4 linked regions of the Schizosaccharomyces pombe genome follow. Changing the gene in region 2 together with the main gene of any one other region gives a genetic interaction. Each region holds a gene or a part of one and is shown on either strand. Other genes may lie near its edges.

What was found.
Region 1: of cdc3 (region 2) and arp2, a mutation in one rescues a mutant of the other (synthetic rescue), as found in Schizosaccharomyces pombe (one study listed by BioGRID).
Region 3: mutations in cdc3 (region 2) and imp2 impair growth when combined (synthetic growth defect), as found in Schizosaccharomyces pombe (one study listed by BioGRID).
Region 4: mutations in cdc3 (region 2) and acp2 are lethal when combined (synthetic lethality), as found in Schizosaccharomyces pombe (2 studies listed by BioGRID, with this or other methods).

Annotation. Positions count from the first base shown.
Region 1 is NC_003424.3:4,779,185-4,787,367, forward strand, and holds arp2 (ARP2/3 actin-organizing complex actin-related protein subunit Arp2), read left to right. Parts: upstream 1-3,837; 5' UTR 3,838-3,870; coding exon 3,871-3,918; intron 3,919-3,942; exon of another isoform or gene 3,943-3,968; coding exon 3,969-5,093; 3' UTR 5,094-5,581; downstream 5,582-8,183. Other genes in the region: SPOM_SPAC11H11.03C (uncharacterized protein), read right to left, coding at 1-300, 339-483, 839-1,001, 1,057-1,065; pheromone p-factor receptor Mam2, read left to right, coding at 1,504-2,550; protein Fta6, read right to left, coding at 2,863-3,011, 3,059-3,089; Golgi 4,6-pyruvylated galactose (PvGal) residue biosynthesis protein Pvg5, read right to left, coding at 5,978-7,096.
Region 2 is NC_003424.3:2,574,133-2,581,355, forward strand, and holds cdc3 (profilin), read right to left. Parts: upstream 5,394-7,223; 5' UTR 5,347-5,393; coding exon 5,334-5,346; intron 5,285-5,333; coding exon 4,952-5,284; intron 4,896-4,951; coding exon 4,858-4,895; 3' UTR 4,824-4,857; downstream 1-4,823. Other genes in the region: serine/threonine protein phosphatase PP1 regulatory subunit Sds22, read right to left, coding at 1-163, 219-341; pts1 (20S proteasome complex subunit beta 5), read right to left, coding at 974-1,792; SPOM_SPAC4A8.14 (ribose-phosphate pyrophosphokinase), read left to right, coding at 2,369-3,445, 3,488-3,640; tif303 (translation initiation factor eIF3c), read right to left, coding at 6,088-7,223. UniProt on the Schizosaccharomyces pombe protein: Binds to actin and affects the structure of the cytoskeleton. At high concentrations, profilin prevents the polymerization of actin, whereas it enhances it at low concentrations. By binding to PIP2, it inhibits the formation of IP3 and DG.
Region 3 is NC_003423.3:3,345,975-3,350,952, reverse strand, and holds imp2 (F-BAR domain protein Imp2), read right to left. Parts: upstream 3,054-4,978; 5' UTR 2,973-3,053; coding exon 2,904-2,972; exon of another isoform or gene 2,810-2,903; coding exon 2,718-2,809; exon of another isoform or gene 2,653-2,717; coding exon 980-2,652; exon of another isoform or gene 932-979; coding exon 753-931; 3' UTR 501-752; downstream 1-500. Other genes in the region: protein Ndc80, read right to left, coding at 1-28, 78-105; protein tam11, read left to right, coding at 4,136-4,324; SPOM_SPBC11C11.01 (U2-associated protein), read right to left, coding at 4,665-4,978. UniProt on the Schizosaccharomyces pombe protein: Required for normal septation. Involved in the disassembly of the medial ring during septation.
Region 4 is NC_003424.3:2,103,530-2,107,699, reverse strand, and holds acp2 (F-actin-capping protein beta subunit acp2), read left to right. Parts: upstream 1-2,266; 5' UTR 2,267-2,450; coding exon 2,451-2,456; exon of another isoform or gene 2,457-2,653; coding exon 2,654-3,050; intron 3,051-3,099; coding exon 3,100-3,503; 3' UTR 3,504-3,670; downstream 3,671-4,170. Other genes in the region: protein Atg14, read right to left, coding at 3,746-4,170. UniProt on the Schizosaccharomyces pombe protein: F-actin-capping proteins bind in a Ca(2+)-independent manner to the fast growing ends of actin filaments (barbed end) thereby blocking the exchange of subunits at these ends.

The sequences.
Region 1 (8,183 bases), 2.2 Mb from region 2:
ATGATGGCACAACATGTTTTTAGACGAGGAAAACAATTCGTAGCAATTTCTTCAACAATTTTTTCAGGCTCAACTTGATCAGTCAAAGTTGAATGTTGAGGACGAGAATATGCTTCTTGAGGTTCTTGAATGCAATTGAAATTTGGTTGAATAGGTGAAGTCGCAGATGGTAAATAAACATAAATGCGGCCTTCATTTACTTCACTGTTGTATTTTATAGATTGCTGCTCAAGCATTCGCACAATTGCAGGTCGTAGTTTTTCCACATGATTAGCACTGTGATTACCGCGCCCAACTATACTAAAAAAGAGTTAATTTTAATTAAGCGTAAAACATACATATGTAAATGATTGTCACCACGTCGGATGCAATTCTCAATTCGCTGTTGTACTGCTTGTACAGCTTCATCGATGTACAGACCATGTAAATCAATTTCATCGGGATTGCATTGAGAGTTTTTATATAAATAAATGGCTGAAGCCGCTATCAATAATTAGCACAGTCATAAAACACTTCTATTTTGTTTTCTCGAAGCCAATATGGGTTTGAAGAAACCCAGTGTTTTAAGTTCTATAAAGAAGCCAACCCATTTTTCTCTTAAATCACATGGCTTTATTCAGCTGTTTCAGAGCTCTTCACTTTGTACAAAGAATAGTTCATTGTCATAACTACTATTGTTTGGCGTATTGTCTGACCGATAACTACCGGAATTAGATACCAAACAAAAAGAGTGGAAAAGAAAGAAAGAAAAATCTCATGATGGGTTTGTTTTTCTATTATTGAAAGTTTATAGGGTTTGAACTAACAATCACAGCTTTTAATGAGAATTTGAGATTACCTTGTCGATTATAATTTTCCATACGCTCTCCACATAACTTTCCTTCTTGGCTTAGTTCATGCGCTTTAGCCTTGTTTCCTGCTGAATAGGCATGCTGAGCTTCTTGAAATAAATACCCTCGTTTTTCAGCCTCTTTTGACGCCAACGCTCTAAACTTTTCATACTTCAATAAAGTTAGTTACACCTAATTTCTCCTTATCTCTTTGATTAATAATTACCTCCTCCATTTCTATTGTTTCAGGTGTGGTACTAGACAATGAAGTTAACAATAGGAAATCTGAACAATGGAGTACCACAAAAAATGTTATATAATTCAGCTAGATCTCTGACAAAGATGAAAAATAATTTTTAAGAACTGTCTAAACAATAGTAAATCCTTTTGTTTTTTGTTTCGAATCTGTTTAAACTACAATTTTGCAATTGTTCGAACAGCATTCCATTGGTGTGTTTTGAGTCCATATATTTGGAAATTTGCTGTATATCTTCAAGCGAAAATTTAACTTTTGAGACATAGAAGTGTTTTCTGGAAATTCTAAACAAAGAGGAATTATTGGCATAACAGTTCATTGGGAAACTGAGTCATCAAGTGCTTTACAAATCACATTTTTAAACTTCTTAAACTAAAAAAATCTCGGGTTTATATTGTTCTTGCTCCCTCTGACATTATGAGACAACCATGGTGGAAAGACTTTACTATTCCCGATGCATCCGCAATTATTCACCAAAATATTACCATTGTCTCTATTGTAGGAGAGATTGAAGTGCCAGTTTCAACAATTGATGCATATGAAAGAGATAGACTTTTAACTGGAATGACTTTGTCTGCCCAACTTGCTTTAGGAGTCCTTACCATTTTGATGGTTTGTCTATTGTCATCATCCGAAAAACGAAAACACCCAGTTTTTGTTTTTAATTCGGCAAGTATTGTTGCAATGTGTCTTCGGGCCATTTTGAATATAGTGACCATATGCAGCAATAGCTACAGTATCCTGGTTAATTACGGGTTTATCTTAAACATGGTTCATATGTATGTCCATGTGTTTAATATTTTAATTTTGTTGCTTGCACCGGTCATCATTTTTACTGCTGAGATGAGCATGATGATTCAAGTTCGTATAATTTGTGCACATGATAGAAAGACACAAAGGATAATGACTGTTATTAGTGCCTGCTTAACTGTTTTGGTTCTCGCATTTTGGATTACTAACATGTGTCAACAGATTCAGTATCTGTTATGGTTAACTCCACTTAGCAGCAAGACCATTGTTGGATACTCTTGGCCCTACTTTATTGCTAAAATACTTTTTGCTTTTAGCATTATTTTTCACAGTGGTGTTTTTTCATACAAACTCTTTCGTGCCATATTAATACGGAAAAAAATTGGGCAATTTCCATTTGGTCCGATGCAGTGTATTTTAGTTATTAGCTGCCAATGTCTTATTGTTCCAGCTACCTTTACTATAATAGATAGTTTTATCCATACGTATGATGGCTTTAGCTCTATGACTCAATGTCTGCTAATCATTTCTCTTCCTCTTTCGAGTTTATGGGCGTCTAGTACAGCTCTGAAATTGCAAAGCATGAAAACTTCATCTGCGCAAGGAGAAACCACCGAGGTTTCGATTAGAGTTGATAGAACGTTTGATATCAAACATACTCCCAGTGACGATTATTCGATTTCTGATGAATCTGAAACTAAAAAGTGGACGTAACTTACGCCTGAATGTATCTTTTTTGATAATTCCTAATACTGGCTCAATAACAGTCCCAAATAACATAGACGGTTTTTTTACGATAGGCTTGTAATCATAATTTGCTCAGAGGGAAGTTTTCTAATGGTTTTTTTTTTTTCGCTTCATGAACAATTGTTTACTATAAACATCAATGAAATTATATGATTATAATAACTTATTATCATGAAAACTTCAAGTCGTACTTCACAAACACTTATTAAAACAATAGTGAATGAACTGCCTTCGTAATCTATAATGAACTATAATGTTTTGAGTCTCCAAGTGCTTACCTTACGAACTTTTTTTTTTATTTAAAGCTTCTTGTACCGTAGAAGCCATATCATTCATCGAAGAAGCTAATTCCTTTCTAAGCATCGTTTGCTTTTGTACTTTGGCCGATTGCATTAGCAGTTCTTCCAGACGTGATTTAAACGTTTCCACTATATACACGTAAGTATTGAGCTATTAAATAAAAATTATAACCAACCTGCTGACAATAAAATGTATTTATCCTCCATTTATTTTTATCAAATATTGTATCGAAATGTTTTAGCTGCGAAACGTTACACTCCTTAATTTAGTAATAGCAATATAATAAGGATCTTTAAACCGATATGTGTTATTCTCAAATTGCATTGCTCCACTTATTTCAGTAAACAGATGACAAATATTCAATAATGGTATATGTCGATAATTATAATTCTTTTGTTTAAGTCTTGTATTCAATTTAATGCACACATCTAGTTACTAGAGAAATAAATTCTTTATTAAATCGGTTCCGCGATTCTTCATTTTTGCACAGCGCTCCTAGTCATACCAATCTCATAATAAACGATCGAAGTGTTACCTGCACATTAAACAAACAAATAGAGTCCGTGTTTTTCTTTTAAATAATAGTAATACTATGTGAAACGAAGAATCTTTTAACTAATAAGCGATAATATACATTACTGCCGAACAATTATAAATGCACAGTTATGGCTTTGAGTATAAGGGGTAACGATACTAATGCTAAGTACAATAGAAGATAAGATCATTAACCGTAAAAACCTTTGAGCTATTCTTTTTGCAGCCAATTGTTAAATTAATTTAGATACTTCATTTCTGTTTTATAATTCTCAAGATTACTGCACTTCGCTTTCCTACGATATTACATATTTACGATATATCACCGAATGCTCTGCTACAGTTGCAGTGCTGCTGTGTCATACGGTATATGGCAGATAGTTACCGCCGGTACATTACATAGGGGTGGACTTAAGAACTAACCTTTCACCAACTACACGAGACGTTTATAAAATGGAGTCTGCTCCCATTGTTCTAGATAATGGAACTGGTTTTGTGAAGGTAATCAGTTTAATTAAATCTTTGTTTACACTGTGACTAACGTTAGCAAGGTCGGATATGCTAAAGACAATTTTCCGCGCTTTCAATTCCCATCCATCGTAGGAAGGCCCATTTTACGTGCTGAAGAGAAAACAGGAAATGTTCAAATTAAAGATGTTATGGTCGGTGATGAAGCTGAGGCGGTGAGATCTTTACTTCAAGTAAAATATCCCATGGAAAATGGCATTATCCGTGATTTTGAAGAGATGAATCAACTTTGGGATTACACTTTCTTTGAAAAACTAAAAATTGATCCGAGGGGTAGGAAAATTTTGTTGACCGAGCCCCCTATGAATCCTGTTGCTAACCGCGAAAAAATGTGTGAGACAATGTTTGAACGGTATGGTTTTGGTGGTGTTTATGTCGCCATTCAGGCCGTTCTCTCTTTATACGCACAGGGATTAAGCAGTGGTGTAGTTGTTGATTCTGGTGACGGTGTAACCCATATTGTGCCTGTCTATGAAAGTGTTGTTTTAAATCATTTAGTTGGTCGCCTTGACGTTGCCGGTAGGGATGCTACCCGCTATTTGATTAGCTTACTTCTTCGTAAGGGTTATGCTTTCAATCGTACAGCAGACTTTGAAACTGTTCGCGAGATGAAAGAAAAACTTTGTTACGTTAGTTATGATTTGGAATTGGACCATAAGCTTAGCGAAGAAACTACCGTTTTAATGCGTAATTACACCCTTCCTGATGGAAGAGTTATTAAAGTTGGTTCTGAGCGTTATGAATGTCCAGAATGTCTATTTCAACCTCATCTGGTTGGTAGTGAACAACCAGGTTTGAGTGAATTTATTTTTGACACTATCCAAGCAGCTGATGTGGACATTCGCAAGTATTTGTATCGCGCCATTGTTCTCTCAGGTGGTAGCAGTATGTATGCCGGTCTTCCTTCACGTCTTGAAAAGGAAATAAAACAGTTATGGTTTGAGCGTGTTCTTCATGGAGATCCCGCACGTTTGCCTAACTTTAAGGTTAAGATTGAAGACGCTCCTCGTCGCCGTCATGCCGTGTTTATCGGCGGCGCCGTATTGGCAGATATCATGGCTCAAAACGATCACATGTGGGTGTCCAAGGCAGAATGGGAGGAGTATGGAGTACGTGCACTAGACAAATTGGGTCCTAGAACTACTTAGAGTATATTTATGTTTAATGTTCTGTTTCTTTCTTTTTATGTGCTAGTAAATTGAGTTATACGAAGTTTGATTCATAAATTTCAAACTTTGCTAAATGATTACGTTTTCTGTTTAATCCGACCATCGTTAAAAGACGGTACGATTCCTTCTTTTATTTGCCTTTTTGATTCCTTTTTCTTTTGATGGGCTATTTACTTATGCTTGATGTTTATACAACCTTTTTGTAACCAACGATCTTATTTACTCAATATGCACTAGTACACTTCAATAGCAACAGACTTAATGACTAGACTCCCGTGACGTATATATTTGGTTTCGCCCATTTAGGGCGTTTTCTTATTAGGTCCTAGTTTTAACAAAAATAGCTTGACATTCTGAGCTTCTAGTTTTCTGAAGATTGACATCCACGGAAAACATGAGTAACATTTAAAAGCAGGAATTTCTATTATTGTAAATAAATAAATTACCGACCTAATTTTTTTGTTAAATTGTATATATAAACCATTAATAATGTGTCCAAGACAGCCTAGAAAAATTAATGCTCTTAATTAAGCACGACAGCATAAGAGGAGTAGAAATTGCCGCACAAATCGACTGAAATTTCTCATAACGGTGTAAGAGGAATTCATTAGGAAACAAAACGACGGAACATTGAAACAACCTTAAATAAATAAGAACAAATATAAAAGTGTAGTTTACGAAGACAAAATGCCTCGTGAAACCGACAGATGAAAAACAACGTGAAACCGAAAATATGTGAATAAAAAATGAACAACATAGAACAACAGTAATGAAAATGAAAATATAAAAACAAAGAACAAAAGCAAAGAATAAAAAAGGAGAAACGACTGGAGTAAATAAGAGAAGAATCCAGAAGAAGTAATTTAAAGTTGCTTCCATTGTTCAATTATTCGAAGAGCTGTTTGAAGTTCCTCAGCTACAGCAACAACATTTTTCCGCTGGAACGCCTGCATCCACTGTCGTTCATAATAAGCATCTTCCACGTCATCGTTTTCGAGTAAATAAACATGCTTCAAGTTAAGATAAACGCCAAGTAAATGTATCTGATAAATATCAGTTACAAAATATGGGTACTTCACAACTTGGGACACCACGTAGTCAAATAAAAGTTTGGCTTGATCGTCGATAGTAGAGGAATCGGGAAAAGATGGAGGCTGCCAAAAGTGCAATGTATATTTAAGTTTATAATTATCATAAAATGAAACAGGCAAATTGTGATCTTTGGATAGAAATATCAGTATATCAGCTGAAGTTTTTTTATGCTGCTTAATATCTGCTAATTCAAATAGCAAAGAAGAAGACGCATCAGGGGCAAAGGCGACAACTGCACCACTTAACTCAAGATATCGTGAATCCGATAATACCCGAGTGGAGACAAGGTACTTATCCGGAATTGGTCGAATCTTTTTGAGTGCAAGTTGACATTCATCGTCGGCATATTCAGCATAATTGATGGGGAAAGAACGAACTTTGAACTTTTTAGCCTCGTCAAAAGGAACAACAGAGTCCATGACATGATTAAACAGATGAAATGTGAACCTTGCAGGAGTGGCAGCATTCAAAACTGCAAAGTACAAAGGATTAAATAAGTCGCTGCCATTATTAAAAGTTGGAAGAGAATCGTGAGCATTATTAGAAAGGGGAAAACATATATCAGAAAGGACATTAATATTACGTTCTTTCAAGTACCAGTTTTGGCCCATTAAAGTAAGAAAATTATCAGAGGCGGCAAAGCATGGGCGGTTGATCAAAACAACATTGCGAATACCTCCTAACTGAGCATCCATGGTGTAATAAAAATTACGTTTTAAAGCTGACAAATGACGATGATAAATAGGATATTCGGTTTTCAGCTTTTTCATAGTAGTGTTCGAATAGAAGATTAAAGGACGAAGTAGAAGAATGAGGCTTCCAAATAAGAATAGTCGAAGACACCATCCGCCGATACCATTACCAGCAAAAATCCGTAATGGAAGGCCCATATCAATTGGATGTGAGCATAAACAGAATAAGAAAAATCAAATATGAATTAAAAGAAAGAAAAGAAGAAAAAACCAAGTATTCTTGAACCGATACTCACTATTCTATTTTAACAAGTGTGATAACAGTTTTGGAACCAGTGTGAAAACTAAATAAAGAGGAAAAAATTTTTTTAAAACCCTTCAATACAAATAATCGACACACAAACGGAAACGAGGATAAGAAAATGAGTCAAAGGGGGAAACCATATAAAAGTGTAAAGATGATACCAATGACTTCTCTGGGCAGGAAGAAGAAGGAACGAATGAAAGTAGCAAATGTCTAACCAAAACAAAAATTAAACGAGAGAAATTAGAAAGTTAGAAGATTTCCTTTTATTTGTATTATGAGCCGTGGGAGTAAAAAAAGCAACGGCAAATGAAGAAAAAAAAAATTAAATTAAGAAGATGATTAACGAAAAAAGACGAATTTTCAGTAGAGAAAATATATAAGAAATACCTTACTTTGTTGAGTTTTAATCGGACTTCGGTCTCACGAAATCACGACAGGCTAGGAAGAAAATTTGAAGAGTGGGGCTCAGAGCATTTATACTTGGAAGATGCGAAATGAGTAGTTAAAAAAAGACTTGACCAAATTTTATAGTTCCCTTGACCGTTAAATCTTTTCCCAATATTCTATACAATATATGGGAGGGTTGATGTACAGAGGATGAGTTTGAATTCACTGGTATGACCAAAGTATGCGGCAATCAAGGACTAAGGCTGGAAAGAGAAGTAACGCACAATCTAACCTTAAAGTAACGAAAAACAAGGATGCAAAGGAGCTTAATGAGTGGTAACGAGACTTTTTCAATCTGATATTTAAAGATTTAGGAAGCAAATGCAAAGAGAAAGAAGAAAGGAGGTGCAGATTAAACAGTGAAAGTGAGAAGGTACGAACAAAAAGAAAAAGAAATTTGAACGCGTGCGTACACAAGAGAAAGAAAGAATGAAGCGAAAAAAATAGAAAGAGAGACACGCAAAGACGGAAAAAGGGAGAGAGAGAAAAATAAAGGACAATCTTGTTTAAACACGAGGACGCGCTTTTTAA
Region 2 (7,223 bases):
TGACAATTAAGTTGTCATACAAATCCAATTCAGTCAATGTTTCTGGAACTGATTCAATTTTCTTGATTTGATTTTGGCGAAGACATAAACTCTGTAAATTTTTAAATCTTTCAAGTCCAAGAGATGCCATGCTTTGTATACGAGACTGAATAAGCTCTACGCACTATATTAAGTTGGTTAGCTATATTTCAATTTAATGATTTAAAGATATCATTTACATCGACGTCGTCCGGCACATCATCAAGCAGATCTTCATCTGCATCGATTTGCTGGACATCAGGGTCATCAATGATAAGCTGTGTCTCAGGAGCAATTCCATCTTCACTGGAAACGTTACTCATTGTAAAAAAAGGCGATATAATAAAAAGGGCAAACGTGTTACAAACGAAAGTACTATATGCTTTCAAGTAGAGTACCGTGACAACATAACGACGCTTTAGGAAGCAACGATACTCTTGCTATAGCTTTTTACAAATCTGTATAGTTTTTATCGAATCGTTAAAAAACTCACTATAGTGAAACTCATAGCATACCGCAACATAAAATAATCTTATTCAGCGAAAATCATTAAGTTGACTAAATGCTAAACAATCCCAATTGCAGCTTAATTGTTTAACAATCGTTAGTACTCATCACATTAATGGAACAATTATCATATGGTGTGTATAGATTTATTAATGAACGATAACTTACACGGTAATATAACCCCCTCCTCGAATACTGATAAAAACAGATTTGAAAACAAGGTTCATTTCAAGTCATGTTAAGCTAGTCAATCAAATATATGGCAATGTGAAATTGTACATTCTCTGAAAGAAGTTACAAACGATGTATAGTTTACGGAATTGACTTCGACATTCAAATATAAGGGTATAAAATAAATGAATAAATGACAGTTGACCTAGAAGGGAATAGCAAATAACAACGTCTCATTTAATACACCGATGACACATGACTACTAGCAAGCATGAGTTTAGCGAGGGATATGAGCAAAGGAGTTTTCGTTATCTTTTGCTTCCCATATAAGACTATCAACATCAAAGTTTCCATGGAAGACCCAACCATTTTCATCAATGTGATAAAGATTTACTGAGCCACCAGAGTATGCATCTCTGTGAGTGGCAGCAACAATAGAGCGCTGAGCTAAATAAAGAGCTTCTTGTTTAGATAAGTCCCAGCGATATCCAGAGTCCAAAACACCGTACGCAAATGTAGAACCTGAACCAACGGAAAACAAATCACCTTTCAATCGGGTGCCATCACTGTCGATGTAGTAAAGTGCAGTACCACCTTTTCCTGTTCCAGCAAGCATAGTACCCATGCTAAGTCCATAACCCTTGTATGAATAAGTAATGTTTGAAAGAATTTTGCTAGCAGCAGAAACAGAGATTAACTCCTTATTTCTAAGTTGATGTAAACGACATTCCATTCCTAGAACTGTCTCCCAAAACTGACAGTCAGCTGCACCACCAGCAAGAGTACCTAAAAGATATGGGTTTATCTCTATAACTTTTTTAACGGTTTGTGAAGCAATAAGAGGACCGGCAGATGCTCTCGAATCTACACAAACAACGATACCATGTTGGTAACGAAAAGCTAAAGTAGTAGTACCATGATTCATTTTAATAAGACAATGCTTGTTTTTCGTTTCATCTGTTAAGTTTCGTAAATAAAGAGAAGATTGAGGCACTGGTACGACATCAAATCGATTTGTAAATCCTTCTTCTTCTATTATTTTTTTTGGGTCATCATTGTTAGTACTTTGTGTATACTTAGATACGATAGAATTCATGATTAAAGAATAGTATTACGCTCTTAGCACGTTCGTCGCTCAGTCAGCTTACGGCAAACACTCAATATAGCGACTCTCTTAGAAATCGCTATTATAATATTTGGAACACTACCGCGACTACTGTTATGACTAAACGCAAAAGAAGCGAAAAATGTCAAACATTTTTAAAAATAAGTTTTTGTCAAATTTAAATTATTTTTGTTTTCTAGACTTAATAGTAATATTTCAGCTGATTTTGTATATTTATCTAACATTTTAGGAATGCCAATTTATGAGTCCATGTGACCTATCTAGCATGTTGGGAAAACAAAGAAACTATCGTTTTAGCGTGCCATTTTACAGTTACGTTAAATAAGTATACCGATGCTTAAAACTGGCAAATAAAAAACAACAGAAAGTTACACTCTTCTTTTTACTCAATTACCTATACCTAGACGCATCTGTTTAACGGGAAAACGATAATATAATTACTTCTCGTAGTTCTAGCACATATATAGTTTTTTGAAGCTCACTTGAGTAATTTTGTAGATTTTGAAATTCGGGAACCGTAAGTTGAGGAAATATATTATAGGGAATATGAAGAGTGCTACAATCATTGGAGGCGGTTCTCATCCTGAACTTTTACATCTCATTTCTAACCGACTTGGAATTACACCTTGTGATGTATCTCTAAAAAGGTTTGCAAATGGCGAGACAAGCGTTGAAATTCGTGAGTCAGTGCGAGATAAGGACGTTTTCATTTTGCAAAGTGGAAGTTCCACTGTAAATGACAGCTTAATGGAGCTCCTTATTATTATAAGCGCTTGTAAAGGTGGATCTGCTAAAAGAATCACAGCTGTCATGCCTTACTTTCCTTATTCCAAACAATCTAAAATGCGGAAGTATCGAGATGCCATTACAGCTAGAATGGTAGCCAATTTATTAACCGTTGCTGGTGTTGATCATATAATTACTCTTGATTTGCATGCTTCTCAAATGCAGGGATTCTTCACTCGCCCAGTCGACAATCTATATGCAGAGCCTAACATAGCTGAATGGATTCGTAGAAACGTCGATGATTGGGAAGAAGCGGTAGTAGTTTCGAAGAATCCTGGTGGTGCCAAAAGAGTTACCAGTTTGGCGGATACTTTGAATTTGGACTTTGCATTGATTAACACTGATAGACAACGAAGTTCTCATTTTTCCCAAAATTTTGAAGATTCCATTATGGATGAAACAGAAGCAACTGAAACACATGTTACTAATTGTTCTGTATATTTGGATCGTCCTCGTATCCATACTGCTAAGTACCTTTTGGGACATATTATCGATGACGAAGAAATTATAACTACCCCAGCTAGTGTTTGTTCAGAAGATTATGCTCAAGAAGTTAATTTGTATTCTCAGGGAGGATGTCCCAGTGATGATGATGAAGAGGAAAACATTATGTCTGCGTCCATTTATGCTGAACGTATGATCACCCTTGTCGGCGATGTGAACGGTAAAACCGCCTTATTAATTGACGATACAATTGAAAATCCAACAGCTTTCATTGTCGCTTCCGAACATTTGGTTAAGCGATGTGGAGCTAAAAGAGTTATAGTGATTGGTACCCATGGAATTTTTCAAAATAAATGTTTAAAAGATTTGCAATCTTGTGAATACATTGAACAGGTAATGTCAAATATCACGGAAAGCTGACTAACGTAACAATAGATTGTTGTCACCAATACGTATCCTATCAAACCACAAGCAGTCCTGGAATGTGACAAACTTACTGTTATTGATATTAGTGGGGTACTTGCAGAGGCTATTCGCCGTACCCATAACGGTGAAAGTATTAGCTTCTTGTTTAAGAAAGCGTTCTAAAATTTTCGTACTACTTTATTTATCATGTTAATTTAATTAGTTATTTTAACTACAATATGCTGCTCTAGAAGACTTGGTTTTGAGTCAAAGTTATAGGATATCAAAAAGTAACGTTTTGTTTAATATCACTGTTTCTTACCTTGGTGTGAAGAATGTCTACCAATGAATAGAAAAATCTGTACGCTAATTATTTACCTAATTTAAGAAGTAGCACTATTTTGTAACAAATATAGTTGCCCGTATTGTGGGACTTCTTTAAATTCGAGGGTTTTCACGTTTTATTAATGCATAAAAATATTAAAAAAAATAATAATTAAAAATTGGTAGCAATTTAGAAGTTACTTTAAAATTTATTAGGCCAGTTCAACTCTTTCATTGGCATTTTAATATACCAAAACACTTAATAATGTAAGTAAATTGCAAACATAATTTGTTAAATTCAGAAAAGCTGAGTTTCTTCAAATGAACTATCAAAAACCAAAGTTTTATTAAAAAAAAAAAAAAAAAAAAAGAATCTCAAAAGATTAAAAGAAAATGTCGTTTAACTTCTTAACAATACATTTGTTTACAACTTGTTTTTATTTTTTTGTCATATTTTCAACTTTGCGAAACACACTATATATACTATATAGTTTGCTACAAATCAAGCAACAGCTCCCGTGGCCAAGCTGGTTAAGGCCTCATGCTTATATGATACTCCCCTTAGGAGGTGTGTTACGTGGAAATCGCGAGTTCGATCCTCGCCGGGAGCACTTTTTTTGCAAAGAATTTTTACACAGTCAAGATTGTTGGCTTGTCTAGTGTATGGATCATTGTAAAATAATTTTTATAAGTATATGTAGTACTTGATTTTTTGCAATTGCTTATGTAGATAAATCTATCACGTTACCCTCCACTTAATGAACTGACTTCTTCCTATTCAAACCCTCTTTTTTGCGAAAAGATAAATATCTAAATATTGTTGTGTTTATTTACATATAATGTAATTTGGCTCAAGTTAGTAGTTAAAATGTTTGCACTGCTTTTAATTTGTACGCAATATTATTTCGCAAACGGAAAGTAAAAAGTTTAACATTTGTTATTTACACATGGCAATCTTCTACAAACGATATACATCCTACTAACAGAAACCTGTTCAAAAATGAGAAAGGATCCAAAACTACTTTTATCTGATAATTTAAATGAAATAGCAGTAATATTGATTGTCATGTCAAAATCTAATACCCAACACCAACAAGATAATCAGCTAAAGCCTCTATTGCGTTGTTAATAATTGTGCTAATTAAGAATAGTAAACTGAGAAAAACTTACCAGTAATCTTGGCGGCTTCTCCTGGAAGGGTTGTTTCAGGGTAGTGAGAAACCAAAATGCAAAGCTTAGTAGCTACACAAATAATGCCCTCTTTCTGTAATTTACCATAGATAGAACGTCCTTCAGCTCGAATAGTGATGTATTTTTGACCGGCTAAAATGATACCAGTGCCAAACATACTAGGTGGATCTTGGAAACCAGCGGCAAGGCCTTGGATTTCCTGAGGAGAAAGATTGAATCCAGCAGAAGCAGCCCAAACACTGTCACCAGCACGAGAGACGATAGCAGCGCGATCGATTTTTCCAGTACCGAGCAAAGAAGTATCAACGTAAGCTAAATAAGTTAGATATTATTCGTAATAATATCTAGAGGATATACAAACCTTGCCAAGACATTTTTGCAAATCTGGGTTTAGAGATAGGAAAACTTGTAGTAGTAGGGTGACGGAAAGTAGCAGCTACCCGTTCTACATGCGTTTGAAACCTATGACCAATTTAAGGTGCTCTAAGACGTTCTAACATTGATAAAAAAATTCTTATAAAGTTTCCCTCATTTTTAGAAATAATATGAAACTTATCGCAGTTGACTTCGTTAGAGGTTTACCATTCAAGATCGTGTGAATGTATTGTGTAAGGATTGTTATGCTTAATACGACTTCAGAAGTATTCAATAGAATTTCAGAACTCTTGTTTAGAGGTTCAACAACACAATTAGAGATACTTCGTTCAGTAATAGATTTTTTAAAGAAAACAACTTCAAACCATACACCGATAGATTGAGCTCGTACTAGCGACCAAAAATTCGATTACACACATCATGTCTGTTTTCAGTCGATGGAAAAAAGGCGACCATATGAAACTGAAGAACAAAGCTTGCAGAAATAGCTTACTGTAAACGTGTATAATGGTCAACAGATTCAGACTTTCGAAGCAAAGTATCTTTACAATTGAAGATAATTACCAAACGGTAAACTACATTATTTCCGATTAACGTTTGTAACAAAACCACTATGAAGTAACTCAGATGTCTATTGATCTATGGAAACCACCTGATAGTTAAATACTTTCTTCAAAGACAAATAGTCATTCATTTTATTGAAATTAGATCGCCCTATTTTTCACCGATGCACAACAACTTTAATTCATGTCTGAACGATTCCGATTTTCGGTGCGTTCATTGCGTCTTTTAACCGAGCCACCCTTATCACGACGTCTGTTCTCCTGAGGATTAGTGTGTTGGGTCTTCTGCTCATATAGCTTTTCATTTGCCTCATTCAATTGTGCAGTTTTCTCGCTAAGAGAAACAGTCAAGCTTTCCAGCTTGTTAATCTCAACACGTTCAAAAATGATGGCACCGTGAACTTGATCAAGAGCAGCATGGATCTCACGTTTAGATAATAACCGAGAAACAATAACAGTAACACGCTGAACAGGAAGATCAAATGTCGTAGCCAAAAATTCAAGAGAAACAGAATCGTAAAAAGCAGCATATGCTAATAAGTATGTACGTAGTCCCTCTTCCCGAATCTTCTCACTAAGCATTTGCTTAATTTTGTCAGCATCAGGCATTAAGCTCCAAATCTTAATAGCATGAATAAATTCTTCACAACGACGCCATTCACCATCTGCCAATGCTTTCGAAGCTTGCATTATATACTCGCGGGTATTTTCAGGAGGACCAACGAAAAGCTGACGATCAATGTATTCAAGCATACGACGGAAGGGTCGGCTGATTACACGCTTTCTAGAATCTGAAGCAGTAGAGCTAGCAGCTGCCATTGCGGGAATCTCCATCAACATAGAACAAGTCAAGTAAACACATTCAAGCAGTTCTAGATTTATGTGCATATGGAAAGGTAAAACCAACTGCTTATCCAAACGATCCTGATCAGGTGTAAATTGTCCAAACTTTGGTGCTTGTATGCCTTGTCCAAGGAGTTCCTTTACACGACCAGTAGTAGAGATGTCTTGAAGAGCATACTGTGTTTCTTGAACCATACCGTTGCGGAAAGCACACAAACCAATTTGAACCATAGTGCGATTGTGTAAAATTTGAGTAGCAATGTCGGCAGCATGCACGCTATCTTGTAAATGCGACATAAGTAACATATCACGAGCCTTGTAAAAACGATTTTGCAATGCTTCATGATAAATATGACACAGCATAGCACGGGTACGAAGTAAACTGACACCATTATTATAAAGATAGACACATAGGGAATGGATTAAAATATCAGGAGTCGTAGTCGTGGCACGAGGAGTAATTGTAAGAT
Region 3 (4,978 bases), on a different chromosome or scaffold from region 2:
TTAGATGAAGAAGGTGCCTGTGAATACCCTAAACTTATTGTTAACTTATTAGTCAAAAGAAAAAAAAGAAAACATACGCCTCGCGTAAGAGGAAGAATCTTGCATTTATAGTAATACAAGCAGATTGTTGTCTTTTATCGTTGGAGACGTTAGTTATAACAACAAAACCACTTTGCTAAGTAACAAAAATAACAGTGAATAGCGATTTCCAATATAGAACCGCAAAAATTTATAGTGAATCGCTTTGCAACTTAAAAAAGATATCGACAACGGCAGGATTCGAACCTGCGCTCCCAAAGGGAATCCGCTGGGCTACAGAATAGCAGGCGAACGCCTTAAAACCACTCGGCCACGTTGTCACAGCTTACTAGGAAATAGTAATTAGTTATACATGAAGCTATTATAGACCTGTGTGTTAACTTAGATTGGTAAAGATTTGATGTTTTTTAAGTTATTACAGAATTTTAGAAGCAAACGAGAATTACTAGAAATATTTAGGTAGAAAATGGTGCAATGAATGACAATAATTCAATCATTTTGAACATAATGCTATATATAACAATCGGTATCATTTTAATCTGCAAAATTCATAAAGATTTATAAGATAATAATCTTATAATGTAGATAACTTAACTAAACGTGTAGCATTCTAAATATCCTATAATGTAAAACAACCAAAATTAGAAATCTAGTATTTTAGATTTAAATGAGAATGAGAAAAGATGAGAAAATGCGAAACTATAATACGAAAGCTAAACCTCGATTTCACGAACAAAATTTGACGGAAATTGCCCACGGTTATGGTCATCCTCTCCAACGACAAATCCCTCCCACCAGCCGTCTTCATAAAGCTTAAGAACTGCAATGGTATCTCCCTTCCTGAAGCTTATCTCTTCGGGTATTGCAGCATCATAATCATATAAAGCAGATACTAAATTCAAGTTAGTAATTGTAATAGCGATGGACAGATTAGACATACCATAACCAAGAATACGTTGACCATCTGTACTTGTTGGATTATCAATACTGGTGTCACCGCCGTCTGTAGGATATGCAGGTAAAGAAAGTCGGTTAGACGTGTTTCCAGTAGCTTTTGTATTTATTGTATCATCAACAAAGGAAGAGTCCCGATCAGTATAAGGCTCGTCATCGGTAGGTGCAGTACCACTTGCTGGATCAACTCGAACACCGAAATCATAATTTGGCTCTAAATTTCCTGGTGTTAAGGAACGAGGAAGTCGGCTGGCATTCTGAGAAAGGGAAGAGGAAGGACGTTTTGGTGACCTACTTTTCCTCAATGTGAATGAACTTCGAGATCCATTCTTTCTTGAATCATAAACGGGTGAAACCGCACGATTCTCCATTTGTAGTACACTACCAAATTCTTCCTGAATTTGTTGACGCCGTGATGGAGTGTTAACATTTGGGCGGGAGTCCTCGGTGAAAGAAACAGAATTAGGACTTGGTAGAGAACCAAGTTCGTTATACCTTGGTGGTAGTGTATTAGAGTTAGGGAAGGCACCAGGAGCAGCAGGCGTAGGATTCTGTTTTGGCTCTTCTTGTAAAGAAAGATGCTTCATCTGTTCATCAGCCGCTGAAGTTAAAGGAGAGTCATTTCTCGGACTTGATAATGCATCCGGAGCCGTATTACCAACGTTTGGAGTCGAAGGACGACTCGTTAATTTAAACTTACTCAAAAAGCTTTTCTTTGGAGAGCTTCTACCATTTTGGGAAGAGTTAGAAGAAACAGTGGTAAGCGATTGAATTGCACTAGGAGTATTAGGAAGGGTATTTTCGAAGGACGACTCATTACGAGCGGTGGCAGAAAGGACGTATGGACGATTCAATGGCATGTTGTCATTTTCTATTTTGGTTTGGGCCCGCTGAAAATTAGCCTGAACCAACTCTACAGAATCATCGGGAACCTCGCCCTTATAATAGTCATAAAATTTTGGAGGTTGAGGAATTCCCGTTCCTGTAGATTTTGCGTCAATAAATTCCAAAACATCCTGAGAGACACTGCACTGTTCAAGATTTTTGCGAATTCGTTCACATGCTTGATCATCATTAAAGCAACTACGAGAGATAAGTAGTGTAAATGTCCACATGACGCTTTTCAGGAAATGTCTTCTTTCTTCTTCAATGTCCTGAAGTTTGTCACAGGTTGACCGCCATTCGTTGGTCCAACGAGCGTATGAATCTCTGACAGCTGCTACAGCTGATTGATAGTCAGAAGAACTAGCAGTGATAGCATTCTGAGTCTTGTTTAATTTCGCATTGTTCTTCTCTAGCTCCTTTCCGAAAAGCATGTTTTGCTGAGAAACATAGTAATTTACTTTCTTGCACAAGTAATGGTATTTGTCTTGAGCTTTAACAAGAGCTTGATGCTTGGAGAGTTTATCCTTATGAACTTTTTCTATCCCCGAAACGATCATCTTTTTCTTGTCCTTTAAAGAGGCAGCGTACCGCGTAAACGCATTTTCGACATCATCCTGAAGCAACTGAGAAATCTGCAAATGAGACTTTGCCATATTGTCAACTTCAGCTTTCATAACTTGGACTGATTCTTTGAGGCAACCAGTTTCCAAAGAACTGAAGGTTGTTCGAGACAACTTTGCCATTCGCTTGGCATAATCTTCTTCAATGTTCGCTCTAAGGTTGAAGTTAGAATAAACGATCATAGCATGTTAAACCCTGCTTCACCTCAAATTTCTCACCTTTCATGATAAAACGACCGAAGCTCTTCATTAATGTGTTTCACATCGCTAAAACGCGAAAGTAAAGCATGATAACCCTCATCATTTGCACCCTAATAAAGAATGTTAGTTAAGGTGTTGTGTTTAACACAAAAATCGAAAGTTTTGGCAGATAATGAGCTATCCACGTTGGCTTAGACACCATACCCAAAAGTAATTTGAAAAACTTTTATCAGGCTTTGCTGAAGATGCATTAAAGCTTAATTGTTGAGACATGTAAACGGAAAAAAACACGAATTAAGAGATTTTTCAATCTCGCCTTTATGGCAGTATTCTTTATTCGTATATGGTGGTGGTGTTGATTGTAAATGAAACTAACAACGAGGTAAACAAACGGCAACGCGTTGCCAGGTGCAGCTTTTCATGTCAACAATTAACAAATTTATCAAGAAAACCGATGTAATGAAGATTTTTCAGCCTTAAACTATCAAAAAAAAGCAATAGAATATTGCAGTGGAAAGATAAAAAGCCTTCAAATGCTGAGATATATATGGTGAACAATTGATTCATTCAAAGTCCACTTTATTCATCCTTGAGACTCTATAATTGTTATCTCTGTTAAGCGCACAAGTTTTGCTCACTATTTTGTATTGATTATGTGTGAATACTGTGATTTGAGAAGCGACCCAAGGCAGTCCTGAAAAAAAATACTTACCATAAACTCCGGTAAGCGAACTTATAGACTTAGACATTATGCTAATAAAACAATGATTTAGCATGTATGTATTTGCAGACTTCACGTTCTGTATAGCTATCTCCCGTCTCAAATCGTTTTACTATGTAAAATATTAAATTTTTGAATGGAATGCAACATGCTATTAATCAAAAACTTAATATACTATGCAAGCGGTTCAGGCGTACTGAAAAGTAATATTTTTTAGATAGCTCGATTTGTACCTGCAGCATCATTCGATGTGAATAAAAAATCGTATAATAATTTGTTTACTTAGTGAAATACACTAATCGAAAAAATAAATAAACACTAAAAAAAACATAAATACAACGTTTATGTGAGTCAAATAGATTAAACATATTCATTTATCAGGTACATACAAAACGCCCTTGTAATTCTCGGTTTTTCTTCCAATTTCCATTATTTTCAATCTTATTTTTTATTTCACGAGATCGCATTTCTTAATAACCCGACTTACGTCATGGGTTGGCGGTAGGGACGCTGATATGTTTACTATATATACAGCAGCCGCCCGGCTTCGGCGGTTTATTCTTTAACAAAACAACTGGTGATAAATACTCATTCTATCACACTTAAACACTAGGTGAGATTAAAGTTATTAATTGCTTTTGTCCCTATACATTTGCGAAGTTTTGATAATACGACCAACCTTGAATTTTTTGTACATCCTCTGAAATTATAAATAATGGAACGCGAAGGTAAAGAAGACGTTCGTAAAGCCGACCACAAGATTGTTTATGGTATTGAACGTGTGCGACATGGAATTAACAACTTTTTTGATGACGTTGGAAAAGCAGTAAAGTCGGAAAGCGATACTGCCGACTCCAAGAGAAGTGCTGAGGCGAAAGCCGATGAAGCCCCTGCTAAAATGTAGTGTCTAAAATTACAAGTACTTATACTCACTTTTAAAACATGATCCTCCAACTTTTTGTGATGCTGAACTTTACGATCTTAGCCATGCATGGCGAAAACTGTTTATATATCGAATTGATAAAGCCAGTTTGCACAGCAGCAATAGCATTCTTCGTCTATAAGTTATTCAATACAATGCTTGATGAAAGAGAAAACAAAAATCGTTGTCATTAAAGTATAATAGTATTACGGGTAGTTAAAAATGGATAAATTTAACATCAGTCATACCTTGTTTATATGAAAAGCGATATTCTAAATTGTAGAAGTGTAGTTCTTTTTTATCAATTGCATTCTTCTATTTTCTAGAATAAATCCTCCGCATGCATACGCATGCGCTTTGAGACGAATGTGCCTTGAGTAAAACTGGGTTTGAACTTTGCTTTCCGTTCCTCCGTAGGCTGCGGGCTTGAACTGGAGCTTGTTTCCGTACTCATTGGTATTTGCGATATGAATTCTACGTTTAACAATTCGTTTACATCGACAGGAATACCATTATACTCTTCGTCATCTTGAAGTCCTTCAGTCTCTTCAGAAATTGCTGTCCAGCTATTCTTTGTTTCCACTTTCAAAGCAGCAGAATTTATTTGTGGTGATTGAGGGGTATTTCCCGAAAAAT
Region 4 (4,170 bases), 470 kb from region 2:
ATTGTCAAACGGAACACGAGATATTAACAAAAGAGGAACAATAGCACCACCTTTCCACAGTCTACAATATAATGGTGGTAGACGCGTCGCAACACAGAAAAGAAACGTATCTTTGGCAAAACAAAAAAAAAATTTTAAAGTCAGTTCCTTTCAATGAAGAGACTACCAATTCCAATTTTTTAACCTTTAGGATAAAAAAGCGACAATTCTAACAAACTTCGACAAACCATATCAAAATCCTAAATCACCAGCAAAAAATCCAAATTAAGAGTTGGACTGCCCTCACTGCCTCACCCACTTCACCTGTCATAAACACAAACAAAACTACTTACAAAACAAAATTGCCACGTTGACGTATAAGCTACAGCAATCAACACAGCAACACTGAATATCAAATTGCTAATAGTACACAAAAACAAGAATGAACAAAATTAATGCCGGCTAACCTTCACAACACACGCGCGCATAAACTGCCTATTACACTAAAACAAGCAATATGCAATATTTACTTCGTTGTATAGCGCCAAACAATAACAGATAGCACAAATGACTTAAGATTTATAGCGACTTGGCTTCAAAGGGACAAAAAAGTAGTGCCCTATAACAAATTAACGATTAATAACGATATCGAACTCTTCCGCGCGACTAGCAATTTCAAGAGTCGAACCGAGGAAAAATGTGGTTTGCAGAGGGAAGGAGGAAACATGTTGGTATAAGTCACCGTTGTCCTCAGGGTTAGGGTTTTGATGTGAATCAACATTGCGGCGGATGAACGATTAGATGATAATTTCAATGGAGGGCGACTGACCAATTATCTTTCTCCTACGTCACCACTGGCTAAAGCTATCAGGCGCAACGCAAATCGCGGGGTGTTATTGTAAACAAACAAAACCAAAAAATTCGGCCAAACTATGTGTTCTGCAAGTAAACAACTTAATAATAATACAATTAAAAGATAAATGATCAACAATAATTGCAGGTTAACTTCTTACAAAATTTCGATAAAAGTTTCAAACCCACAAAGCACATTTTCTGTTTTAAGTGTTTGTAATCACACACTCACTGCTACAACAACAGTAATTACAGCCTTTGTCAAGACAATAAACAGATAGAAATACGGAAAAGTGCAATTATCCAATGTAATCCTCCAATGTACTGACAAAAAGGTTCAATCCAGTTTAAGCAAGGTTAGAAATGTTTGTTTACACAATTGGTTTCAGCCGTGCGCTAGTAGTCTTAGTATGGCCAAACATACGAAAAAAGTTAGAATGCAAGATTCGAACTCGGGATTTCAAGAACTCCGAACGGGACAAAGAATCTTATGGAACGGAATGGAATCATTTCTCGGTCATTTGAGAAACCGTCCTACAATCTGATTGGTTAAAAGGACCACACCATGAAAAAACCCATGTGATTTTTGCGAATCAGAAATCGGTGAGAGATGGGAGTTGAACGCTTGTACATAATTACGTGACAGTGGCAAAATCTAGGCTCTCCCAAAATTTTTGATCACAGTTAATGTTCCGCAAATTTTTAGAACGTTGAGTCGCGCTATTCCATTTGAAAACCGTTTAACAAAACAAATTAAATGTTCTTTATTTCTAAGGAACGCAGTTTGAAGATATACGAACACTAAATTCGTAAGTTGTCATACTGCATAACGACAGTAAAACGTTATTAAAGGTTGAGTGGATGCTAAAACAGAAGGTGAGATGTAGATAAAGATCAAAAAGCAGTTAAACAATGCATTTGTTAAGGTTATAAACATAAGAATAGATTTTAAAAGATCCATAGTTTAAATAAAATGAAAGACCATTGCTTAAAATGAAAGAAGGACGTTTGTTATTGACTTTTTTATGACTTTACATGGTTTGACTCGTAGAAAATCCAAACTTTAGATAGAAAGCGATTCAAGCATTGACTTTGGCATATAATTCTCCTTGTTTCTGTATTAAGGAATTTAACCGATATACAGAAAAGTTTTGTATTCGTTGCCAATACTAAATTTAACTTGAAAATGTTCAATATTGAAAAATAGACAGCTTATTGAAGTGACCAACAGTAGCATCTAATAAATTCTTGACTTTTTCCGCTTGAACAAAATGTGCTCTTCTTTTGATTATTTTTAACAGCTCATTGATATTACCAGTTTGATTATAAAGTAAGTTTGAGGTTGGTTTTTGCTACGTTGTCATCACCAGAGGGTTCATCGTTCAATGTTCACCGCCATATGTTGTTCACTTTCTAAACTTACGCAGAAAGCACCAGAGTACAAGTACCTCACCACCAGTCAGTCACCTCTACTATTTGTGTACTGCACCGTGAAGAATCTTCGTAATTTATGCGACGAATCTAAAGTTACTTCCTATAATCATTAAGGCCTCACTTTTATTCTGAGATCGCTATCCGGTTGTATTCTTTTGTTTAAAGCATTATATCATCAACTCACCATGAATGTAAGTATTACTGAAATTAATTACCTTGCCCAATTTTTTTGTTATATTTTTATTATATAGCCATCTGTAAATTCATCTTATCATTGAATGCATATTTCATCGATTTTCGTCAGTATTGCTCAGAGACTTTATGAATTTGCTTTTCACATTCTTTGTCGTTATCCTTCTTTACAATATCAGCTAACTTATTCTTTTAGTCTGAAGACGCTGCATTAGATTTACTCCGACGATTAAACCCAAAAGATATCTCTAAAAACCTAGACACAATTCTTTCCGTCGCTCCCGATTTAGCTGATGTCCTTCTCTCGTCTGTTGATCAGCCTCTAAAAGTAAATACTTGTTCTGAGTCAGGTAATCAATATTTGTTATGTGACTTTAACAGGGATGGAGATTCGTACCGCTCACCATGGAGCAATAAATATGATCCTCCTTTGGAGGATGGTTTAGTTTCTACTGATCGAGTTCGTAAATTAGAAGTTTCTTTGAATGAAGCAATCCGTGTCTATCTTGATCTTTATTACGAGGGCGGTGTTAGTAGCGTTTATCTTTGGGACCAAGACGATAGTTACGCAGGCGCCGTTCTCATAAAAAAGGGTATTTTTATTTTCTGTCAATTTCATTATATAATTCTAACTTCATTTAGCTTCTACTTCTAACTCAAGCGGATGGGATTCTATTCACGTGTTTGAATGTCTGCCTACCACGGAAACCAACGTTTATGATTACCGACTTACAAGTACTATTATCCTTTTCCTTTCATCTGGCTCGGAGGAACAGTCTGCCTTGCCTTCCAAAGCTCTTAACCTTTCAGGTCATTTGACTCGCCAAACTTCTCAACGATTACCAGCGGCAGATGATGACACTGAGATCGCTAATGTTGGCAAATTGGTTGAGGAAATGGAAACTCGGATGCGCAACTTCCTCCAGGATGTCTACTTTGGAAAAACTAAAGATATCATCAACCAGACTCGTTCCATTCAACCCGTTTCCGATGCCCAACCAAATGATTCGGCTTTGCGTTCAGTTTTAAACGATCTTTCCATTTAGGATTGCTTTTTGTTTTCTTTCCGTGATCTTCTCATAGTATTCGTTCCATCTTCAACGAAAATAGTCATAGAAAGATTGACTAATATAAATAAATACACCGATAATCTAATTTTTTTACAACAGTTTTAAAAGAAATTATTGAATTTAATTGTTCAGTAAAAAAGTTTATATAAATAGCATTAAAAAATATACGTTAAGAGACTTTATAAGAAAGCTGTTAATCGAAGATCATGTAAAAAAGGTCATGAAATAAGCTGATATGGTTTAGACGAGGAACGTGATCGAAGAGAGGAGTAATTTATTGGAATTGGAAGACGCGCCAGGTATAATCGGTGAAAAAGGTCAAAATCCATACCCATCTTGTAATGCCAATCTGGCTTTTGAGAAGTTAGCGGCTTGGTACGTAGCTGAACTAACCAGAAACCAGTATACTGCATTAACTCAAAAAGCTGGGATTGGGTAATTCCACGGGGAAACGAAAAAATGCCACAGTTCCATGAAATCCAAACTATGTTATACATTATATACAACATTTGTTCCGATGAAAATGAAGTCATGGGTTTTTGATCAGGCGAAGGGAGTTGAAGCGGGCATGGTAAGGGAATACTGGTATACTGAGCTAAAAATATACAAATAAAGGATAAAGTTAAAGCACAATCAGGATTTA